Rattus norvegicus: one gene and its partners. Each later gene encodes a partner of the first gene's protein in a complex. Links are inferred from orthologs where the notes say so. Each region holds a gene or a part of one and is shown in the gene's direction. Other genes may lie near its edges.

Region 1 (3,644 bases):
GCTCCCCAATTCACCACACAGTACATTCCTTTCTCCTTTGACCATTCCAGGCTACCTATTCCCCATCTCCTATTCCCCAACACAACCCCTGGTACGACTCTCTAATGACTTTACCTGGGCCAGAGGGGAAGGGGTAGGGCCAGAGGGGAAAGGGGTAGGTCCCTGTAGCATTCCTGTACCTTTTTGGAGGCCCTTGGCTCCTCCTTCATTACCTGCCCCAGAGCTCCTGCTGGCCTCTGGATCTGTTTGCTGAAGGTCCTTGGGATTATCTGCTCCTTGCCCACCCTCTGCAGGGGAAGGCTGACACCCTAGCTCACTGATTTGTGAGGCCACGGCCCTCCTCTTCTGTCAGGTTCATGAGCAGAAAGCGTGTGCGCACGCACACACACACACACACACACACACACACACACACACACACCCCACAGAACACCATCAGCACAGCTAGCTATGAAAACAAGAAGGAGTTATCCTTTGAGACCTCTGTAGCAACCACCTTGCTTTATTGATTCTTGAACATGAGGCCACCCCTCTCTCGGGACAGGAGATGAGACTCCTCACCCCTGGAATGACCATGGTCTGTATGGGAGACCCACAGGACTCAGCAAGTGGCCGCTCATGACTAGCTGTCTAAGCTGTAAAACCACAGATCTGAGAGACTGGCTTTTAGGAGCCCCATCTGCCTGGGTGGTCTCCTTCAGGGTGTCCTGTCAGGGAAGCAGCCACCATTTCCCAGGGCAGGCATTGTTGCTGGGTCACATGAAGGACCCTTGAGCTGGCAGGGCTCCCTGTGTGTCCTGTCTGCTCACTTATGCTTGCTGAGACACTCACTGAAGCTGTGGTTCCTGCTATGTGCCTGCCTTCCGTTGGTGTCGCTTTGCTCTCCTCAGTAGAGGCTGAAGTGCTCAGGAGTCTGTATGTCCAGACACGAACTGGCTCTTACCCTGAGTCATAGAGTCGTTCTAGGTCCTGTCTGCTGACCTAGACCATGGGAGCTTCATGGATGAAGCACACACATCCTCACCGGCTTCTCCTCTGAGTCTCTTCTGAGGAGAAGGTGCAGGGCTGCCTAGGCCCATCACTTCCTCCTCCACTGGGTGTCATCAATTTCATCAATAAAAGGATTTATGTTTTTATATTTAAGTATCCGCTACATAGATACCGTGGTCACATACAAGGACCAGGCACCTCTGCTTTTCCGTGACAGTGTCTTGTGTATCTGGGATTGAAGATGTTTAGGTCTCACAGCTACTTGGTGAGGACCCAGCTCCCTGGGGGATGGAGGTTGGCTGGATTTGGGGAGCATAGTTTCCATCCCGAGTGGGATGTATTCAGGAGCTGATGGGAGCCACTGACAAGTGGTCCATTCGGCTTTGCACTGTTACCCCTGGTAACACAACTTCCTTTGTTCTCTGTCTCTTCCCCATCCTCCTTGACCTGCAGGTGCAAATAGTCTACAAGCCAGTGGACCTGAGCAAGGTGACCTCCAAGTGTGGTTCCTTAGGGAACATCCATCACAAGCCAGGTAGCACTTGAGGGAGGGAGGCTTTGGGGCAGAAGGGTGCTGGCTGGGCTGGTGGGTGCTTCCTAGAGTAGGCCAACCTGGGCAGTGAATGTTAAATGGGAAACTGCTGTGTGGCCTGGGGCCTGGGTTTGCCCCTGCTTCTCAGCCTAGACAAGGGGTAGAAGGAGAGGAGGAACTGGTTTTAGATCCATCCTGTTGCTCTCCTGAAATGCCTGTATAAAAGGGCCAGCCCTGGGGGTTGGGGATTTAGCTCAGTGGTAGAGCGCTTGCCTAGCAAGCCTAAGGCCCTGGGTTCGGTTCCCAGCTCCCGAAAAAAAGAAAAAAAAAAAAAAAAAGGGCCAGCCCTGGGTCTGGTTGGCGTCCTCCAAAGGCTGGCTCTGTCAATATCCCAGCACGGGGGACACTTTGACTGCACCAGCTATAACATGAGAGCTTCTGGGCTGTTGTCTTATCCTCACTGTAAGGTTGTTCGAAGAAAGTACCCTTCCCAGGAAAACAGCAAAGGTCCCTTCCTCCTGCTACCCTCTGGTGTGGTGACCTGAGCCAAAGGGGAGGTTAGGCTCTCTCTCCTTATTGTACATTTAACAGACAGTTCAATCTCAAGGACTTGAGGGGCTGTGGCTTACAATCCTGTACAAAATTCCTAAGAAAATCTCCACAGCTGGAAGGCGTCTGGTTTTAAAATTTAGCGCGCCTTCTCCTGGCCAAGCTTCATCTACCCCTGAACCATCTCAGGAGGAAGATTTTGCAGGGTAAATATCCTCTGTGCACCCTCTCCTTAGAGAAGAGGCAGGTAGTTTGCAAGCACTAACAAGAGCTTCCTGTGGCTAAGTCTCTTTTCTAGATGAGGTAGAGCCCAGGCAACTCTCAGAGAATGGGCTGTTCCTTGGATCACTGGCCCAGCCTGTGTTGGAGTCAGAATGGACGTGTCTCCTGAATGGTGACACATGACCGATCTATCTATCTATCTATCTATCTATCTATCTATCTATCTATCTATCTATCTATCTATCTATCTATCTATCTAATCGAGTCTCCAGCAGCCCCCAAGCCCCCAAGCTCTGGAGGCTGCAAGCTCGTTTAGCATGTGCTAAGTCCCCCAGACCACAGAAGATGACGAGAGACTCATGTGCGTTGTATTCCAGGAGGTGGCCAGGTAGAAGTAAAATCAGAGAAGCTGGACTTCAAGGATAGAGTCCAGTCGAAGATTGGCTCCTTGGATAACATCACCCATGTCCCTGGAGGAGGGAATAAGAAGGTAAGGGGGGGGCAAATGGGAGGTCATATGGGGATGTGAGGGTTAACACAGTGGATGAGACTGGTCCCAGAGCAGTGGTTCTCAATCTGTCCCTTGGAGATAGAATGTCATATCCTGCATGTCAGATATTTACATCACAGTAAATTTACATAACAGTAGCAAGATTACAGTTATGAAGTAGCAATGACATGATTTTATTTATTTTTTAAGATTTTATTTTTATTTATTTATTTATTTATTTATTTATTTATTTTTATTTTATATATGTGAGTATACTGCACTGTCTTCACACACACCAGAAGAGGGCATCAGATCCCATTACAGATGGTCGTGAGCCACCATGAGGTTGCTGGGAATTGAACTCAGGGCCTTGGCAAGAACAATCAGGGCTCTTAATCACTGAGTCATCTTTCCAGCCCAACATAATTTTGTGGCTGGGGAATCACCATGGCATGAGGCACTGTATTAAAGGGACGCAGCATTAGGAGGGTTGTCCTAGAGGGTTCTCTACGGACTATCTGGAATAGATTCTCATCCTCACGTTGTGTACCAAGAACAAGGCAGGAGACTGAAGGCAGCTCTTTCCCACTAGTTACCAGAGAGCTCGAGCAAAGTCGTAATGCTAACTGAGCCTGTGGCCCAGCTGGCAGAGAGGTTGTCCAACATGCACAGAACCCTGGGTCATGCCTCAGACTGCCATCTCATGCTTTCTACTTCCTCTTGGACTCCTGGCTATGGCATTGTTCCCCACCTATGTTCTGTGTGTGTGTGTGTGTGTGTGTGTGTGTGTGTGTGTGCGCGCGCGCATGTGTGTGCGTGTGTGTGTGTGCACATGTGTGTGTTACATGCACATGAGCATAC
Region 2 (3,644 bases), on another chromosome or scaffold:
AAAATCTGGTCCTATTATTCTGTAAGGTGGCATTATGCCATGTGGAGGTCAGAGGACATCTTGAGACTGATGGGTTCTCTCCTTCCACTTGGCAAGTTCCTGGAGATCAAACTCAGGTTGTCAGACTTGGCAAGTTCCTTTATTTGCCGAGCCATCTAGAAGGCCTGGAAGCTGTTTTATCTGATTTACTGGTTTAGTGTCTGTCTGGTACCACCTAAAGCATTAGCATAGTCCTGACAGGTCCTATGGGGACAGCATCCTCCCAAGCCTATAGCATGGGGTAGACCAGGAAATGGATCTGTTAAAGAAGATACCTCCCAAGCCAGTCCTCATCCTAGCTTTTGGGATGGAGTCCTCCTCAGACCAGCCCCAGCTGAAGTAGGTGCTGCTCTCCCCCAGGCCGTGTCTACTACTTCAATCACATCACCAACGCCAGCCAGTGGGAGCGGCCCAGCGGAGGCAGCACCGTTGGAGGCGGCAGCAAGAATGGCCAGGGTGAGCCTGCCAGGGTGCGCTGCTCACACCTGCTGGTGAAGCACAGCCAATCTCGGAGGCCCTCATCCTGGCGGCAGGAAAAGATCACCAGGAGCAAAGAGGAGGCCTTGGAGCTGATCAATGGTGAGCAGGGGCAGGGGAGCAGGGGCTTGTTGGAAGGCCTCTTTCAGCTGGGCCAGAGGGCCTATCTCACTTTCTTTTCCTGTTCCTGTGACAAAGTACTCTTGACAAGGGCCAACAAGAGGGTTCAGCAGGCAAAGGCACTTGCTGCTAAAGCTGCGGGCCTAGGTTCCATTCCAGGATGCATGTGGTGGAGAGCCCACTCCTGGGAGTTCTCTCATCCCACCATGGAATGTATGCTTTCCTGCCCCAACAAATCAGTACAGTTTAACTGCTAAGCAGTTTAATAGAGAAAGGTTTGTTTGGGCTCATGTCACACACAGTTCCAGGTCACAGTTCACCACACAGGGAAGTCATAGTGAAGGAGCAGATCCTATCACAACCTTGTCAGGAACAAAGAATGATGTATTTGCTAGTTAGTGCTCAGCTTGCCTTCTCTGGATTTAAAAGAGAACCCCAGCCACTCTGGATTCGTCACGTGGACAATAAGCATTCCTCATCACGGACCGTGTAGAAGTCCCACCAGACCCTCACCCCGTCTGGTCAGCAGTCACTCCTGGAAAAGTGCTATACTGTATTAGGGTTGTGACTCAGTTGTTAACGTGCTTCCCCAACTCTCGGGAAACCTTGGCTTTAGTCCCTAGGACCCTGTGAACCTGGCATGATCATGCAAACCTGTAATCTCTGCATGGAGATAGAGACAGAGAATCAGAGGTTCAGGCTGGGGCTGGGAAGACACTTGCCACTAAACTTGAGGGCCTGAATTCAGTTCCTGGGACCTACATAGTGGAAGAAGAGAACCTACTCCCTCGGGCTGTATTCTGACTCAGTAGCATGTATGCACATATAAATGCATTCTTTTTAAGTCCTAGGTCCCACATACTGAGTTCAAGCCACGTGACGACCTTATCTTGAAAAGAAGTGCCTATATTGGGATGAGCTTGGCCCATGCAGGCCCTCGCTCTTTCTTTTCTGCTTGCCATTTGGAGTGGCCAGGTCTAGAAAGTCAGCACCCTTACTTGATAGTAGCAGTGTTTGATGAGCTCTGTGATCTAGGAGATTTGGAGCTTCACTCAAGACTCAGTTTTCTCTTGTGTGAAATGAGCACGGAGACATCCCAGAGGCCATTGCAGCAGTGCAGTGATAGAAGGCAGCCTTGGACAATGGGAGTCATCCTGAGTGATGATGTCATCAGGGAGAGGCCTGGGCAATAGACCAGGAACTGGTAAGCACAGAGCCGGCCCTGTAGAGTGAGGAGTCTGTTTTGATGAATATGTGTATAGGTGTTTGCCTGCATGTGTGTATGTATATGTAGCATGTGTGTGCCTGGTGTCAGAGGAGTTTAGAAGGCATCGAGTTAAAATTGTGTTAGGTTTTTTCAGCTACTACGTGGGTGCTGTAAACTAAACCCAGGTTTTTTGTAAACTTAGCCTGTGCTACAGGCATCTAATCTATCTTTTCAGCCGTGTGTGTATGGAAGTGTGGAAGTCAAAGGACAATTCTTAGGGGTGGACTTTCGCCCACTGTATGAGTCCCAGGGATTGAACTCAGATCAGTAGGCTTGGCAGCAAGTGCAGTCACCTGTTAGGCCATCTTGCCAGCCTTTTGTGTGATGTGTGTGTTTATTTTTATATACACTACATGAATGCCTGCTGCCCATACAGGCCATACATCAGATGCCCAGGAACTAGAGTTACAGGCACTTGTGAGCCGCCGTGTGTATGCTGTAACCCAAACCTGGGTCCTCAGGAAGAGCCAGCCAGGCTCCTAAGCACTGGCCCAGCTCTCCAGTTTGTGTGGTTTCATTGAGAACACTGGCTCACCTGGAACCTAGAGCTTATCGCAGGGGGATCAGGTGACAGTGTCAGGAGCAGTGTCTACCCCACTGCTAGCCTGGGCCTGGGGTGCCTCGAGGAAACAGACCCTCCGCATTCCTGCACTGGCTCCTCTACAGCTGCTGGACAGCAGCCAGAAGCCTGAGGCCCAGCTGTGTCGTTGCCATGTCCTTGTCTGGGACAGCCAAGCTGTGGACATACCCTGGCTCCCTGTTCCTGTTGCCTTGTCCCTGCTCATCCAGGTCCTGAGAGTCCAGGGAGACCAGAACCAGAGTGTGAGCAGCACCCTTTCCAGGCAGGCTTCCAAGATGAGCCACCTCCTCTGGCCGAGTGACGTCCACCCAGCCTGGGGGCCTGTGGCTGTGTCTCTGGCCCTCCCCAACCACACCCTTCCCCTGTTGGCAGCCTGTGATCTAAACATTTTCAGGTTGAGGAACCACCCTTTTGGTTCCTTATGTACCTTAGTCTGCAGCAACGCAATGCCTTAAGCTCTGTAGCTTAGTTTCCTTCTCACAGTTCCTCAAAAATCTATGCCTCATGTTTCCCCTAGAGTCACTCTCAAAAACCAGCCACCACCTTTCCCACTCTCCCCTGTACATTCCTAGAGAGATTGCTTTTCTGACTTGCAGGTAGCTCCTTCTGTCATGTCCTTTGGTGGCCTTGGCTGTCATTCGGCTTGGCTTGGTTTTTTAAGACAGGGTTTCTCTGTGTGGCCCTGGCTGTCCTGGAGCTCTCTGTGTAGACTATACTAGAGGTCCTCTGCTGCTGCCTCTCAGTGCTGGGATTAAAGGTGTGCACCTTGGCTCTCTTCATCTCCCTTTAAATTTAGAGCCTAGGCAGCCTGGTAATTCCCCATGTAGCCAACAGTGACCTTGAATTCTAACCTGCTCATCTCTGGCTCCTAAGTGCTGGGATTACAGGTTTGCACTGCTGTCCCTGATTTAGAGATGGAACCTGGGGCCTGGTGTAGGAAGAACAATCTACCAGTTGAGCTAAAGCCTGGCTGTACCTCTTCTTATGAATAGGTACTCATCGGATTATTCAGGGCCCACCCTTACAGACTCCTTGTCTCCCAGGATAGTCATACCAGGAACCATGGCTTCTTCATAATGATGTCAGGACACTGGCATGCAGCCCATAGCAGAGGAATAAGCATTTGCATCGTTGTCAAGGGTTTGTTCTACATCAGCCCTG
Region 3 (4,440 bases), on another chromosome or scaffold:
AAAGAATTTACATTGAAGCCAAAGTAAGTTGACTTCAGTATCTTGGAAGTAAAACCTGCATTAATTTGCTCATCTGCTTAGCATGTTATGAATCTATTGCTGTGGAAACGGGTTGTGGGGGGGTGATTGGCGAGGGGAGCGACTGGTCACAGGCAAATCTTTAGCTAGCTGTCATTTCAGGCAAGTTATAATTTGTAGAACAAGCTTGTGGTTCAGACAATGTATCCAACATACGGATAAGACAGTGGTAGGGAAAGAATAGCTTGTTATGAAGTCTTCCAGAGAGCTCTGGGCCGAATTCCTGAGGTTCTTTTTTCAGTTGTGCTTAGTGTAGCCCCCAAAAAATGTTTTAGCTCAGAGGAGCACAGTTAAAAGGAGCAAAAGCAGATACTTCATACAGAAACTGCATCTCCTTTCAACTTCCGTCTCCTGGGTGGAGACCTTGTGGGTTCAGGCACCTGCAATTTCCGCCCTTTTCCTCCCCCCCCCCTTCTTCCGGGCGTAGAAGCCCTGCTGCTCCTCCTCCACTAGGGCCCTAGGAACGACCACGCTCCCAAACCTTGCTTCCAGAACCTAAAAGGGTCACACTCTTACAATGCGTTAGTTAGGAACGATGCGTCTCCCAATGAAAGCCCTACGGAGGGTAAAAGCGTAGACCATGAAGAGCAGTTCGGTGTGTTCTAGCCTGTTTCCCCGCTTCGCCCCAAGTCAGGCTTCTACGATCACGTCCAACTCGCAAACCCAACCCTTTCCCCGCTCCTCCCAGCGACCACCCATTGTCCCCGAGGCTGTCACGGTGCGGACGCCGAACTCGCGACTGGAAGGGCAGGGCGTCATTCAGCCTCGCGCTTTTCCAAGCCTTAAAAGGTCTAAGGCCGCTTCCTGCAGCAGGCAGGTAAAGCGGACCGCGGGAGGGAGCAACCGCGCCCGCCCCGCCCCGCGACGGCGGGGCCGCTGCCCTGCTCCGGGGTTCTGATCACAATGCCCTGGCAGTAGAGCCGCTGTCACCCTGCCCTGCAGCCTGCCCGCCGCCATTACCAGCGCAGAGAGAGGGCGGCCAGGCGGGAGGGGGTGGGGTGGGGAGATGCGAAGGTCCCGGATGTGCCCGCCAGTAGAGGTGGGGGCGGGGAGAGGCTTCCTTCCGCGGGCCGCAGGGGCGGGGAGGGAGGGCAGCTCGCGGGGGCGGTGGGGAGAGAACTGAGCACGCGGGTGAAGGCAGGGTCTGGAGCGGAGCGGAGCGCGGGTACGCGCTCTCCTCCGCTCGCCCTCGGGCGCGGGCGGGCCGGCCGGGCGCGCGCAGGGGAGCGGCGGTTGCGCTGGGCCGGAGAACTGTGGGCACCAATCAACGGTTGCCATAGCAGCGTTTGACGTCATCGTGCGTGTGGTGCCCCTGCTGCCGGGGCTAGTGATTGGAGGAAACCCCGTGTCTGCGGAGCGGCTGTAGCCTGTGAGCAGCCAGATCAGGGACAGAGTCTCAGCCTCGCCGCCACCGCTGCCGCCGCCCAGAGACTGCCGAGCCGGGTCCGTGTGCCGCCACCCACTCCGGACACAGGTGAGAAGCCGCCCTGAGTCGGCCTCCGCTCCCTTCAGCCCTCCGCTGCGCTGCGGGCCGAGAGGGGTCTCCCCTGGAGGACCCGGGCGGCGGCTCGGCTCCGCCGGGCCCGGGCAGGCGCCCACCGCCGCCCCCGGCCGCTTGCTTCTGGCCTGCCCGGCTGCTCATCGCCCCGTTCTGGTCCCCGGGTGGGGGTGGCGGATCAGGCGCCCACGCGCGATACCCAGGGGCTCCTACTCCCCAGGGCGACCGCGATCCGCCCCCGCCGGCACCCTGCTTCCGCCCGCGACTGTGACTCGGTCGTGGCGCAGGTGAGGCCGCCCCCACCCGCGGTACCCCCGCCACCCCTCCCCCACGCGGGGGGCAGCCAGGTAGCATGCGGGGCGCTGGGGTGGGGCTCGTCGGGGACCCTGAGTTGGGCTTGCTGGGTCCCGCAATGCCGGAAAGGACTCTCGGGGCGCGCGGTGGGGGAGGGGCGCGGCCAGAGCTAGGCATGGGGTCACAGGGGCTCGGGGTCCCCAGCGTCCCGGGCCGGTGGGAGGTGCGCATCCTTCCCGGAGCCCCGGCCCCCTAGTGGGGGCTGCGCCTGTCTGGGTGGGGCCCTGCCCCTCCCCCTACCGCAGCTGTCCGGGCTTCGGGACTCCGGTCGGACACAGGCGGAGGGGACCCTGGGCGGGAGCGGGGTGTGTCCGGCGCGGGTCGGCCGCGGTTCCGCTTCTGCGGGCGCGGATGGCATCGGGCCCCCGGGAGGGTGAGTCGCTCTCCCTCCCCCCCCCCACCATCCGACTGGGGCGGGTGCGCGGACTGCTCCACCCTCTGCCCGGGTTGGGGGGGGGATTCACAGTCGGAGTAGGTTGGGCTCCTTGACACAGTTCCGCCATGACAAAGAGAGTCGGGGACTAGCGCGGAGGCACCAGCCTGGGCGGAGCCAAGGAGGGGAGGTGGCTGCGGATGGCGCGGACGCCAGGACTAGCGCTTTAAAGTCACCGCTGCGCGGTTTCGGTTCGCCCCACCCGCCGGCCTCGGGCAGCTAAGGGTTAAGTGGGTGCGGCGAGTATTCCCGCAGTCTGAAGGCGAGGTCCGGGAGCACTAGTTTTCCTGTGAGAAACCTAATCCACTTCCCCTTATACGGGAGGTTGGCAGAGGAACGTTTGTACTGACTGGGCTTACATCATTTTTTGGAAGCAACATTTACCAGAGACGGTTTCTGATGTTAGATTTCGAGACCCCGGGGGGGAAGTATGGGTTCACAAATTTTAAATAGTTGATGCACTGAAGGTACTGTGTCTCGAATTTAAGCTAGCTCCGTGTTTCTGTTCTGGACACTGCTCGTTTGGCCAACCAAAAAGAGGTCGTCCTTTCTGGAAAGGGAAAGGAAAGGATTTGATAATTTCCATGGTGGGCGGCTGTGACTCTTATGCCTTTCGATGTGCCTTCAGGTTGTGACTTTTTCTTTATATTTTGTGGGATCACTATATGATTTAGAATCTTGCTCTTGACATGGTTGAAGAAATAAGTAAATTGGAATCTAGAGATCGTTGAAATTGAGCAAAAGAAAACTGAGAAACTATGAAAAAGAAGAGCTTGAGTACTTCTGTGACTCGAGCTAGAAATAATGCGGTAGACATTGGAAGCACTCGGGTCCTTCCGTGTGTTGTAGACTCAGTGCACACTCATAGTAGGAAGTATGGGTGTGTGCTGAAGCAAGAGGTCATACAATGCCATATAGAGACAGATTTGGTCTTGGCTTTAGTGAGTCCTAGTGGTAGTGTGTTCAAGATGTCTTAAGCAGCAATTAGCCAATTATCTTGAGATAATTTTTATTCCATGATCAGCTGGCAAATGTTACAAGTGTAGTAGATCAGGGTTGGGGAGGTGCTAAATAAAACTCAGTCACTCTTGGTAAGAATATATACATATAAAGGTTAGAGTATATGAGTTACATTACACTGACATGACTCACGATTCTGTAGGTATGCACTTCATAAGCATTGTAGATCCCAGTCCCTACCCTAATCCTTGATGCCCATGCACACACCTGAGGGTCCCTACCCACAATCCCCTCATGCCCATGTACACACCTGAGGGTCCCTACCCACAACCCCTTCATCCCATGTACACACCTGAGGGTCCCTATCCCTAACCCCTTCATCCCCATGCACACACTCGAGGGTCCCTTCCCACAACCCCTTCACCTCCATGCACACATTTCGAGGGTCCCTACCCACAACCCCCTTCACCCCCATTCACACACTCGAGGGAACGCTGCTCAAGTGGGTCATTTAGTGGTATTAGGATCAAGTGATACTTTGGCCAAAGAAAATAGAGGTGGGTTTTTAAGTAGCTTATATGTCCATATATGCTTTGATCTTACTTGAAATTGGGATCTTCTGAACATCTGGAACATGCAGTTTGACTAACCCACTGTTAATATTCAGACTATGCTAGTTTTCTGGTTGGTTTGGGGGCGTGGGGGTGTTTTAATTCCTCAAGCTAGGTTTGAGATGCTGGTGTGCCTTATTTACGACAGGTATAACGAGTGTGTGTTTTTCACAGGAGTTTTCTGAGTGTTTCTCTTGTTCACCTTGCAGAATATCCAGTTATGGATAAAAATGAGCTGGTGCAGAAGGCCAAGCTGGCCGAGCAGGCAGAGCGATACGATGACATGGCAGCCTGCATGAAGTCTGTCACTGAGCAAGGAGCCGAGCTGTCTAACGAGGAGAGGAACCTTCTCTCTGTTGCTTATAAAAACGTTGTAGGAGCCCGTAGGTCATCTTGGAGGGTCGTCTCGAGTATTGAGCAGAAGACGGAAGGTGCTGAGAAAAAGCAGCAGATGGCTCGAGAATACAGAGAGAAGATCGAGACGGAGCTGAGGGACATCTGCAACG

The links.
Region 2: the proteins of Mapt (region 1) and Pin1 are in contact, whole or in part, in an NMR structure (PDB 1I8H), measured with the Homo sapiens proteins. The link is inferred for Rattus norvegicus from reciprocal best matches to the Homo sapiens genes MAPT and PIN1. Residues at the interface, in NP_058519.3 of Homo sapiens: Val546, Arg547, Thr548, Pro549, Pro550, Lys551, Ser552, Pro553; in NP_006212.1 of Homo sapiens: Arg17, Val22, Ser32, Gln33, Trp34.
Region 3: the proteins of Mapt (region 1) and Ywhaz are in contact, whole or in part, in a crystal structure (PDB 8QDV), measured with the Homo sapiens proteins. The link is inferred for Rattus norvegicus from reciprocal best matches to the Homo sapiens genes MAPT and YWHAZ. Residues at the interface, in NP_058519.3 of Homo sapiens: Ser637, Cys639, Gly640, Ser641, Leu642, Asn644, Ile645, His646, His647; in NP_001129171.1 of Homo sapiens: Glu14, Leu43, Ser45, Val46, Lys49, Arg56, Arg60, Lys120, Arg127, Tyr128, Glu131, Gly169, Leu172, Asn173, Val176, Glu180, Ile217, Leu220, Asn224.

The regions. Positions count from the first base shown.
Region 1 is NC_086028.1:89,725,603-89,729,246, forward strand, and holds part of Mapt (microtubule-associated protein tau), read left to right. Parts: intron 1-1,443; coding exon 1,444-1,525; intron 1,526-2,670; coding exon 2,671-2,783; intron 2,784-3,644. UniProt on the Homo sapiens protein: Promotes microtubule assembly and stability, and might be involved in the establishment and maintenance of neuronal polarity.
Region 2 is NC_086026.1:27,468,592-27,472,235, forward strand, and holds part of Pin1 (peptidyl-prolyl cis-trans isomerase NIMA-interacting 1), read left to right. Parts: intron 1-399; coding exon 400-618; intron 619-3,644. UniProt on the Homo sapiens protein: Peptidyl-prolyl cis/trans isomerase (PPIase) that binds to and isomerizes specific phosphorylated Ser/Thr-Pro (pSer/Thr-Pro) motifs.
Region 3 is NC_086025.1:69,845,765-69,850,204, reverse strand, and holds the start of Ywhaz (14-3-3 protein zeta/delta), read left to right. Parts: upstream 1-1,502; 5' UTR 1,503-1,552; intron 1,553-4,143; 5' UTR 4,144-4,154; coding exon 4,155-4,440.